2 linked regions of the Oryctolagus cuniculus genome follow. The protein of the gene in region 1 interacts with the protein of each later gene in a pairwise test. Links are inferred from orthologs where the notes say so. Each region holds a gene or a part of one and is shown on either strand. Other genes may lie near its edges.

What was found. The genes of interacting proteins can lie anywhere in the genome.
Region 2: the proteins of OPRM1 (region 1) and GJA4 interact in binary tests that used the Homo sapiens proteins (3 or more experiments, as listed by UniProt). The link is inferred for Oryctolagus cuniculus from reciprocal best matches to the Homo sapiens genes OPRM1 and GJA4.

The regions. Positions count from the first base shown.
Region 1 is NC_091436.1:13,655,535-13,660,889, forward strand, and holds the start of OPRM1 (mu-type opioid receptor), read right to left. Parts: upstream 3,334-5,355; 5' UTR 3,201-3,333; coding exon 2,908-3,200; intron 1-2,907. UniProt on the Homo sapiens protein: Receptor for endogenous opioids such as beta-endorphin and endomorphin. Receptor for natural and synthetic opioids including morphine, heroin, DAMGO, fentanyl, etorphine, buprenorphin and methadone.
Region 2 is NC_091438.1:137,811,120-137,816,325, forward strand, and holds GJA4 (gap junction alpha-4 protein), read right to left. Parts: upstream 3,337-5,206; 5' UTR 3,212-3,336; exon of another isoform or gene 3,036-3,211; intron 2,163-3,035; 5' UTR 2,146-2,162; coding exon 1,144-2,145; 3' UTR 637-1,143; downstream 1-636. UniProt on the Homo sapiens protein: One gap junction consists of a cluster of closely packed pairs of transmembrane channels, the connexons, through which materials of low MW diffuse from one cell to a neighboring cell.

The sequences.
Region 1 (5,355 bases):
TACTATTTGTATTATTCTGTTTTCCAAAAATCATTATCCTACAAACATTTTTCTCTTTAAAACTAAAACCACTTTCAGGCATGGCTACTAAAATTTTGTCATTTAACATCTGGTGCTTAATTTTCTACATCATAGGGCAGTGTGTCTTCCACTCTTACATCACTTAGGATAGCACTGTATAAGAATCCCTTTTACTTAATACCAATTACGTTGCTGATGAAGGTATGATAATGATGGCGTCAAGAGACACACAACATAAAAGCATCAGTCACAGTATGTATATTTCCAGCTGTTTATGTTGCTGTTGTCATAGTCATCTGAACTTCATGATTTACTCAATGCACTAAGACATTCTAATCTTAATCTGTTCACAAAACTAACAAGATGATCATTTACTAGTGCTCTGGATTTTAAATAGTGAGAGGAAGTGAGCATTTCTCTTCAGTACTTCAATAAAGGCAGCATTAAGCCATCTTGTTAGTAGTTAGTAATATCCCTGAACTCATCAGTTGATAGTTAAAACTTTGGAGTGGAGGCAGTCAGTTAAATAATATCAGATAAACTGACACAGTTTCTTCCATCCTTAGATGCTCTTCCCATCACATCATTTGTCATTGAACTGCCTAGTTTTCTGTTTCACAGTCAAATCCTCAGAGGGTTATCTGACCTTGGAATTAAACACTCAACCTACCACAGGTGGATGTTTGGGGTGACATTTAAAAGAGTACTGCATTTTTTTCAGAACTTTCAGTACAGAGAAGAAAGCATAATATCACGTTCTCAGTAAGATGCAATGTCACCATGTTTCTCCAAGTCAACAAGGAGCCAGAAGTAATGCCTTTAAAACAAACTCACCCAAGTAACAACCTCTTAAACACTGGAATAAAGCCAATCTGTTTATTTCACAGCCTATTTCTGTGCTATTGGATGTCTCCTTATAGCAGAGAATAAACTAGAGGGTGGGGGGAGGGAGTAAAATGCTAAGGAGAAGCAATGAAAGGGGATAAAAGATCATGATTCAGATGGTGGAGTTTATAGATGTCTCAGTAATTTATATCGTGTTTTTTGCTCCAGGATTCCATAGATATACATTTTTGATAATTTATTGTTCTATCATTATTACTGCTGACTAAATCTACTCTGTCAATCTAGTAGTTGGCTAATTTAAATCATGGTTTGTCATCTTAACAAACAGAAAATTATGCTAGCTAAGATTGGTTCAGTGGTATCTTTTTTCAACTTTTTTATTTATATAAAGTGAACAAATTTCATGTATACACATTTATGAGCATAGTGATATCTAAGAGGAATCATTTATATTTTCTTTACCTTTTATTCACAGAGCAAAGATAATCTGTAGTCATTCTAGTTTTATCAGTCTATGTGATTTTTAAAGGGATAAATGAGAAACATTTTCTTTTTTAAGAGTAGACCTTCAATTATACTTTTTATTGTCGTAATTGCAGAATAAGACTAGTTTTTTCTCTGATATGAATTTTTTATTGAATTACAGAAAGCAGTTTTTTTTAAAATAAATTCTTTCATTGATTCTTTTCCTGAAATTTTCCTTCTGTTGTTAGCTGTCCACTCAATAGATGGTGCTCTTTTCTCAGAGACACTTTCTTATTTTATTGCTTATCAAAGTATCAGGGAAATTAGCTTTACTTTTTAACAAACATTAATTAAAGAAATCAGGCATATAAATAGGACAAGTCAATTACAAGCAATTTGCAGCACTTTGCTAAGGAAAGCATAATGGGAACAGTGATTATTTGTTAAAGGATTCAAGTACTCCACTGAAACCTGCGAAATACTTGCTGAATAGGTGAAGCAAACACTGTAACTAAATATGAAAATGACACATTGGCTGCATACCTACAACCCCCAATGGGAAGAAACAAGCCTTACTAAGGAACTATGTTAAACAGCTAAAAATATTTGTTTACTTCTTAAAAAGTGAATATTTAGTATTCCACATTCACATGATGTGTTTGGTATACATATCAAGACCAACACAAACAACATCAATCTCATTCAATATTGAAAATTTGCTCACCCCTTGTCTAATGAAGCTGGAACATCTGGGAAACAGACAGTAAACCATAAATTCTTTCGAAATAATTTTACTAAAGACACATTTTCTTTTTCCCAGAGTGCCTATGACAACTTCCTATGTAACAGTTTCTAATGGAGAATTATGATGGGTCACTCTTCATCTGTTCCAATGTGTGGAGACACTGAAAAACAATTCTGTTCTCCTGAACCACCCTACCCACTCAAGATGCAGCTTGCAATTGCTGTAGCAGAACCACAGCTGTCAACTGCAAAGGGTGGAGGTAACAAAGTGACATTACCAGGGAGAGATACCAGGAAAACTTCCTCTGCCTCATGTGGCCTTAGGGTGGAAGCAGGAATAGGTACACGTGAAGATCAGGGGTGGGGCTGTCTACAGAGAAGTCCTCCTGTACCAGCAAAAGTAGGAAAGTTGCCACCTGAGTGGACTCAGCCTCCCAATTCGGAAAAAAACACACCTAAACGTCCTCCCCCATTCTTCACAACTTATGATGCCATAGCTCTTGCAAAGGGAGCCACCGTAGGACTCTGTGCCAAGAGTTTTCTTGTCTCTGTACAAGGGAGAGCTTCAACATGAAGCATTTTCCCCCAACTCTCACCCCCAGAGCTTTATGCCTTTTATCAAAACAGCTTCTCTGTTCCTGAATTTTTGGATTTTTTCTTTACCAGTGGAAGAAAAAAAATAGAAAAGTAGCTCCCCATCCACAAACACACACAGCAACCGCTCCATCTGGGGTCGCCCCCAACCACACGCTTAGTCTTGGGATGCAAGGGCCTTTTGGGAGCCCTTTTAGCCGCTGAACTCCCCGTTCACAGCCCTGGCGCCCTCCTTACCTGATGATCACGTACATGACCAGGAAGTTTCCGAAGAGACCCACCACGCACACGATGGAGTAGATGGCCATGATAGTGACGGCTGTGACCATGGAGGGACTGCCGGTCGGGGGGCACAGGCCGTCGCGTCCGCCCAGTTCGGTGCGGTTCGGTCCACACGGGTCGGACAGGTTGCTATCGAAGTGGGACAAATTGACCCAGGACCCGGGGCTGGGTGCTGGGGAGCAACTGGAGGAGTGCGCAAAGGGATCAGTGCAATTGCTTGCGCTCGCTGGGACGGCGCTGCTGTCCATGGTGCTGACGGCGCTGGGGAGCGGGAGGCCAGCTAGTCGGGAGCCTTGGGACTCGGACTCTGGGCGCTTCAGCCACTGGCTCTGGCCACGGCGGCCGCAGCTCTTTGCGGTTTCTTACCGGGACCAGCCTCGCGGAGCCAAAAGCAGCGTCAGGCAAAAGGCGACAGCGGAGCGTCTGACATTATCCTCTGCTGGTGGCCCCTCCCACCTTCGTAGTACACAGAGGCTCATCCCAACCCGGCACCACAGGGCTGAGGAGGGCAAGGCAGGCGGTGCGGGCTCCGCAGGCTGGAGGGGAGGAGGAGGGGGGAGGTGGATTTTGCGCAAAGCAATCGGAGGAGTTGGTCCTCACCCTTCGCGCTCTTGAGAGCAAACACCTCGAGGGCGGGCGGAGCTGGAAGGGAGCTGGAGGGGAGGGGTGGCCAGAGAGGAACAGAGCTACTTTTGATAGCAGGGAAGCATAAACGAGGGGGCTGATAGATCTCCATTTTTCCAGCGCCGGTTTCTCTTTTTAATCTACGAGGAAAGACACTGGCACGCTATAACTCTAACAGCCCTTGAGCCCCAATGCCCTTCCATCTCTATGGCCCACCACAATTATTGGAGGTAGGGGGCACAAGATCCTCTTTCCTCTACATCGCCTCATCTGACAGAAGACAATCATGTCTTTGAAATTTCCAACTCTACAAACCTGTCTGTACCCAGAGAGATCCTTTATTTATTTATTTATTTATTTATTTTCATAGAAAGGATCTCTATGAAAATAAATAAATAAATAAATAAACTTTGTGGAAGAAACCTGCTCCCTTTATTTTTCATTGTTTCAGTTTCTCTAAGAATAGATGTTCCATTTGCATCCTTCCATAGAATTAGGTAGATTGTGACATGCAAAAAAGTCAACTGAAGATATTACTGATCCACATCTGAGGTCTCCAAGACCCTTTCAGAATGATTATACATTCCATCTGCGAACATACCAGATAGGCGTATACTTTTCAGAAGAAGGCTGTTAAACCCAACAAATTTTGTTTTATTTCATTCCGTTTTCTAGTGTAGACATTCCAGGAGGAAGTACATAAACTTCTGCGCTTGGAGTAGCCCACAAAATGTTCTCGAGGAACAATGATACATTAAAAAAATTTGTATTCACTTTTAAGTCCGTGAGCTCTTCCAATTAAAAAAAATGTAAATACAGTAAGAATATTATTTGTAAAAAACCAACACTAATTCTGCAGTAATTCTCATTTCTGTGCATGAAAATATCTTTTAGCCATAAACACTGGAAATAAATATTCCCAATTGCTGATGGAATAACTGCAGTGTTTTGTGAGCAGGGAAGAGGGAAACCTGAAATCAGCTTTTAATTCCAATATTACTTTTAGGCCATCTGTCTTGAAAACAGATAACTCAAAGGTAAGCTGTATTAATCATAGGAGATATTGCCAATGTTCAGTGTTATTTTTATACTTTATTATTAAAGGGTGTAATTTCAGCAATAAGTTCTTTTATGAAGACTAGTAAAAATGCCTAAAAACATTATAGACTTTGATTTAATGTGTCATCTCATTTGCGCTGAGCTCTGCTATTCATTCTGTCCTTTGAGGATCCATAAAACCAACACATATAAACTTCAAATGGAGGACAAGTAGGCATGTGGAACTGAAATCCTGATATGGGAGGCAAATCATGTTGTGAATGAGCTTTGTCACTTTTTATCTGTATGAATTTGGGAATGTTACTTTACCTTATGGAGAGACAGTTTTCTCCTCAGAGTAAGAATTTGAACTTTATGCTTCAACCATATATTCACAACCAAGATTGGTGTTTTCCTTCTGTTGTTCTTTCTCATATTTGGCTGATGAAACACCTATATCAACAAGACTGAAGGTAAAGGATGGAAAAAGATATTCCATGCTAACAGAAAACAAAAAAGAGCTGGTATAGCCACCCTAATATCAGATAAATAAACTTTACTAGGAAAACTGTTAAAAGAGATTAATAAGGGCACTACATAATGATTAAGGGATCAATTCAACAGGAGGATGTGACTGTAATAAATGTATATGCACCTAATTCCAGGGCACCTGGCTATTTAAATGAAATGTTAATGGATCTAAAGGGAGACATAGACTACAATACAATAATAATAGGGAAC
Region 2 (5,206 bases), on another chromosome or scaffold:
AGCCCATGTCGTCTCCCTGCTGCCCCAGCCAGCTCCCACTGACCCCCACCACAATCCAGTTCAGCTCTTCATTTTGCTCCTGCAGCTTTGGTCACTGAGCCAGGCTCAGTCCCTACACCCTCAGCATGGTCCCCTCGTCTGTTCTCACTGAGCTTTGGGTGCACGGGGTGGGGATTTGCTCCTTCTGCCGCCCCGGTCAGGAGGACAGTGACACAAACCAAGGGCCCCAGGATGAGGTGGGTGCATGGGTGCACCTGGGTCGGATGGTGAAAGGTGTGGCTGGAAGATGTGCTTGCGGAGTAAGGCGCCTGGCAGGGGCCAGCATGGCAGGGGCACCAACCGGGTTTGGGTCAGGACGGGAAGGACACTGCTTTGGCCGCCAGTTACTGGGCAGGTTGATGACCACAGCACCAGGTGGGCCAAGAGGACAGAGCCTGAGGCCCTACAGGAGGACTCGGGGCCATTGGGGAAGGCAGAATGCACGACTTTTGAGCGTGTACAGTGCTGGCTGGGGCAGCAGAGACCAAAGACAGACTACGCAGGAGCAAGAAGAGAAGGAATCTGGGGCGAAACAAGCCAGCCCCAGCCCCAGCCCCTGCCCCAAGGCACGTCTTCACAGCGCAACACACACCTCACTGCTGATCAAGTCCGGTTTATTTTCCAAGCATAAACAGCGGAACTAGGAAGGAGTGATGGGAACAAGGTCTCAGTCCTGTCGACAGGCCCAGATCCAGCACAGGCTCTGTCTGGCTGTGTGGTCAGGGCCGACCCAGCAGCTTTTGCCTGGAAGCAAAGGGCGTGCGGACAGCCCAGGCACAGGCAGATTCCGGTGGGGGTGGGGCAAACGTTGGCTCTGGGTCCCTCTGGACCAGGTGAAAATGAACAAAGGGCCCACGTGGCACCCTTGGCCAAAGGCAGGCCGGGCCAGCTCTGTCTGTGCCTGTGACAAAGCCACATTCTGCAGAGGAAGCCACCGTGCCCTCCGGTCACCAGGATGGCCCGAGCGTTCCAGAATGACCGGCCAGCCAGCTCTGGGTTTCCGAGCTCCGTCCTCTCCGCTGAGCCTTGGCCGAGGGGACATCCAAGGCAACCACCCGGCTCAGGATCCCTCTGCTGGGTGACAGAAGCCTCAGCACCAACCCCCTACACATACTGCTTCTTGGAAGCCGAGCTGCTAGGGCGACTGGGGGATTTCCGGCCACTCTGGGGGGGTGGGTCCAGGAACAGGGGGGGCCTGGAGGAAGCCAGCCTCTCCTCGGTGGTCAGGTTAGCCCAGTTCTGCTCACTGGACGAGAGCCCGTTGTAGGTCGGGCACGGTGGGGATGAGGGCCCCTCGCCCATGGGGAGGTAGAAGAAGACCTGGTCGGCGTAAGGGTCTGAGGCGGTGCCCTGGGCTGGGGGGGCGCCCTGGCCCTGCCGTGCCCGCAGCCCCCGACTGAGGCAGCGGCACAGCAGGTACACCAGCTCCAGCAGGTTGAGCACCAGGGAGATGAGTCCGACCACCAGCATGAAGATGATGAAGATGGTCTTCTCTGTGGGGCGAGACACGAAGCAGTCCACGCGGTGGGGGCAGGGTGCACGCTGGCACACGAACACGGGCGCCATGGTCCAGCCATAGAGGCGCCACTGGCCATACAGGAAGCCCGCCTCCAGCACGCTCTTGCACAGCACGCTGGCCACGTAGGTGCCCATCAGCGCCCCACGGATGCGCAGGCGGCCGTCCTCCGCCACTGAGATCTTGGCCATCTGACGCTCCACGGCTGCCAGCGCCCGCTCCACCTGCGGGTCCTTGGCTGGCAGGGCCCGCAGCTCCCCCTCTTTCTGGCGCAGTCGCTCCTCGCGTCGAGACAGGTAAATGACGTGGCCCAGGTAGACGAGGGTGGGCGTGCTGACAAAGAGGAACTGCAGCACCCAGTAGCGGATGTGGGAGATGGGGAAGGCCAGGTCGTAGCAGACATTGGTGCAGCCCGGTTGCGCCGTGTTGCACTCGAAGTCTGACTGCTCGTCGCCCCACACCGACTCCCCGGCCAGGCCCAGGATGAGGATGCGGAAGATGAATAGCACCGTCAGCCAGATCTTGCCCACCACCGTCGAGTGCTCCTGGACCTGGTCCAACAGCTTCTCCAGGAAGCCCCAGTCACCCATGGCTCCCGGGCCACCGTCTGTGGGGACACAGGGAGTGTCAGCCTGCCACCCTTGCCCACCTGTCTCAGCCACGAGCCCACAAGGAAACCCAGGCTCAGGGAGCAGCAGGACAGGCCTGGGCTCCCACCCAGCGGGCCATCAGGACCCAAAGCACAGCTTCGGACAACGGCTGCCAAGTCCTCTGCAGGCCCTCATTCTGAGTCCCTAGGTGGTAGGTGCGGCCAGAGGCCCTATCTAACGACACATGTGTCCCCTCTCGTCCCCAGCCAGAGCCCCAGGATGACCAGAGTCCCAGATCTGAAGTGGGTTGAGGATGCTTCACTTCGGGGAAACAGAGAATTTGAGAATCTTATCCAAGGCCACCCAGCTGGCCTATGTCTCTTCTCCCTTCTGCCAGACGCTGCCTCCCCCAGGCGCAGGGCAGGGGCAGGGGGAGGTGGGGGCGCGCAGGTGTTGTGCATGGCTCTTAGGCTCAAGCCTCAGGTCTTTCTCTCCCTATCACCTCTCCCCCAGCTGGCCTCAATCTCACCTTTGCATTCCCAGTGGAAGGCACAGCATCACGCATCAGCTCCACCTGCCAGCAACATGGTTCACCTGCAACCCTCATCCTCGTCCTCCACCCCCAGGCCTACCCCACCTCCAACTCCAGACTCCAAGGATTGTCACTGCAGGGCTAAGACAAAGGTCACAGAGTTCCCAGGCCATCTTGGGGGCCAGGCGCCTCTTTCCCTAAGCAAGCTGTTTCTCTGGCCAGGCTCTGGAGGCAGACCTGGGTTCAAATCCTAGCACCCCGCGCGTGCTCTCTCTCTTAACTGGGCCCTGGGGTAAAGTCACCACTAGTGGACACCTCCGTCTCCTCTCCCGGGAAATGGAAGCAGCCATCCTCCTACCTTCTAGGGCTGGGGTCCGGGTTTTGTGAAAACAGGGAGGACCCGCTCTGGACACAGAGCCTGGGCGGTTCCCCTCCGGGCTTCTCGGCCCGTGGGCACCAGGGCAGAAACTCTCTGCGTGCCACCCGACCTCCCGCGGGCAGGCTGCACCACCCTGTCCCCCGTCCGCCACTCACCGCTTGCCTGCCGGGCCGGCCCAGGTGCAGGTGGGGACGACGGCGGAGCGGCGCCCGCGGGAGCCCTGCGGGACCGCGCCACGGGCGCCTTAAATAGCACGGAGGCGGGGGTGTGGGGCAGGAAACGCGGGGGAGGGCGGTGGGGCGCTGGGGAGAGACGGGGCGGGGCCTGGCCCGGGAGGTGCGGCGCCCCGCACCCACCCCTCCCGGAGGTGGCCCCCGGAGTCGGGGTCCCCGCCCCGCGCCTCCGCTGAGGTCTCCGAGTCCCGAGTCCCGTATTCCCGACGGCGGCGCAGTCCCCTCGCTCGGTTTCCTTGGCTGGACGGGAAGCGCTGGCCCGACAGCGTGAGAAGGGGATGCGCGCGTGCTGGGGCTACTCCTTTGCCAGTTGTGCGCGGGACTTTCCTCCTTAGCGCTTGGGGTTGGGGACCACGATGGGAAACCGGGGTGCACTCCCCTTGCTAGAGCCGCAGCGGCGAATTCGGGACTGTCCCGGTTCCTGGCAGGGCACACAACCAGAGGCCACTGAGCACCTCCCTGGAGGGTCACGGCTGGGGGCTTCCTGATCTTCATCTTGAATTCCAGCCCTCTCCACCTCTAAATGGGGCAAGAGGGTGGGGCGGGCCGTGGGAACGCAGCGTGCAGCTGGGGGTGCGCGGGCCAAACCCGGCCTCTAGCAATCCCTCCGCTAACCAGGCAGGTGCAGACTGAGATCATGGTTGGCGGGAGGGTGTGATTCACACGTGGGTAGTTCTCCCCAGGGTTCCAGGAGAGTCGCAGGGGCTCAGGGGCTTGGATGGGGATATTGGTGCAGGAGGCTGTTGGCCAGGTGCCCGGGGAAGGGCCAGAGGGCTGGGGGCTGTGAGGCCTTGGGAAGGTGGCGGGGAGCCCAGAGGTTGCGGCTTTGCTCTTGACTTCTGTGCCCTGGGCCTGTTTCTTCCTCTGTGGAGGGCGCAGGAGTTGCTGGGAGATGCAAGCCCATGGTGTGGCACAGGTGTGGGGAGATGGCACCAGTGAAATCTGGAAGCATTGTGGCAAAATGCAACAAAGGATCTGTGAGTTGGTCTGGGAGAGAGCTGAGGAGCCCTCGATGGGGGCCGGGGAAGCCAGTGGCAGGTGGACGTCGGGGCCAGGGGTTGGTGGCAGAGCCCAGCTGCTGGGTGTGTAGAGCAGCAGGTAGGGTGGGCTTGGACCCAGAGCTCCAGGGCTGGCTGCTCCTGGGGGCCTTCCCTCCCAGGCCTCTCCCTCTGGGCCAGGCCAAATGGAGTGTTCTGGATCTGCAGAGCTGACAACTTCGTGCCTGCTCAATTCTGACCTCCGAGGTCGTGAGAACAAAGGCCCCTGGAGGCTGGCTTCCGCCACGCCCCGCCCCGCCCCGCCCCCATAGCAGCCTCTGCGCCTGACTCCTCTCCTGGGGCTGGGGCTGGGGCTGGCTCTCCACAGGGCTCTCTGCTTCCATCTCCTGGGTGGGAGCAGATGGCAGGCGGGGGCTGGGGGGTGGGTGACGTCAAGACTGCACTGACCACGTCCTCAGCGGCTGTGGAGGCCAGCGTTTGAATAGCCCAGCACTTTCCCCAGAGGAAGAAGGAGCTGGGATCCACTGGGAGGACCCTCCCCACAACCAGGCCAGTCCACCCGGAACCCTGCATGTCCCCGACCTGTCCAGGAGGCGGCCATCTCAGGGGCTTCCCACCTGAGCTCCTGGCCTCTAGACCACCCCTCCACCCAGCCTCCACTCTTCCCAGAAATCTGACCGTGACTCTGCTTAAAGCCCTTCCATGGCTTCCAATGGCCGTCAGGGCAAGACCTGAGCTCTCCAAGCCCCAGGCCACTGAGAGCGGCCATCTGCAATGGTGTGTGGCAGTGAGAGCAGCCACATGCGGTGGTGCACGGCTCCGTGCGCTCTGCCAGTATCCGTTCTGTTCCTGCTGAGCCCCCAAGCCCCTCAGGACTTGATCAGATGGATACCGGCTAGCCTTATTAATCATTGTGATA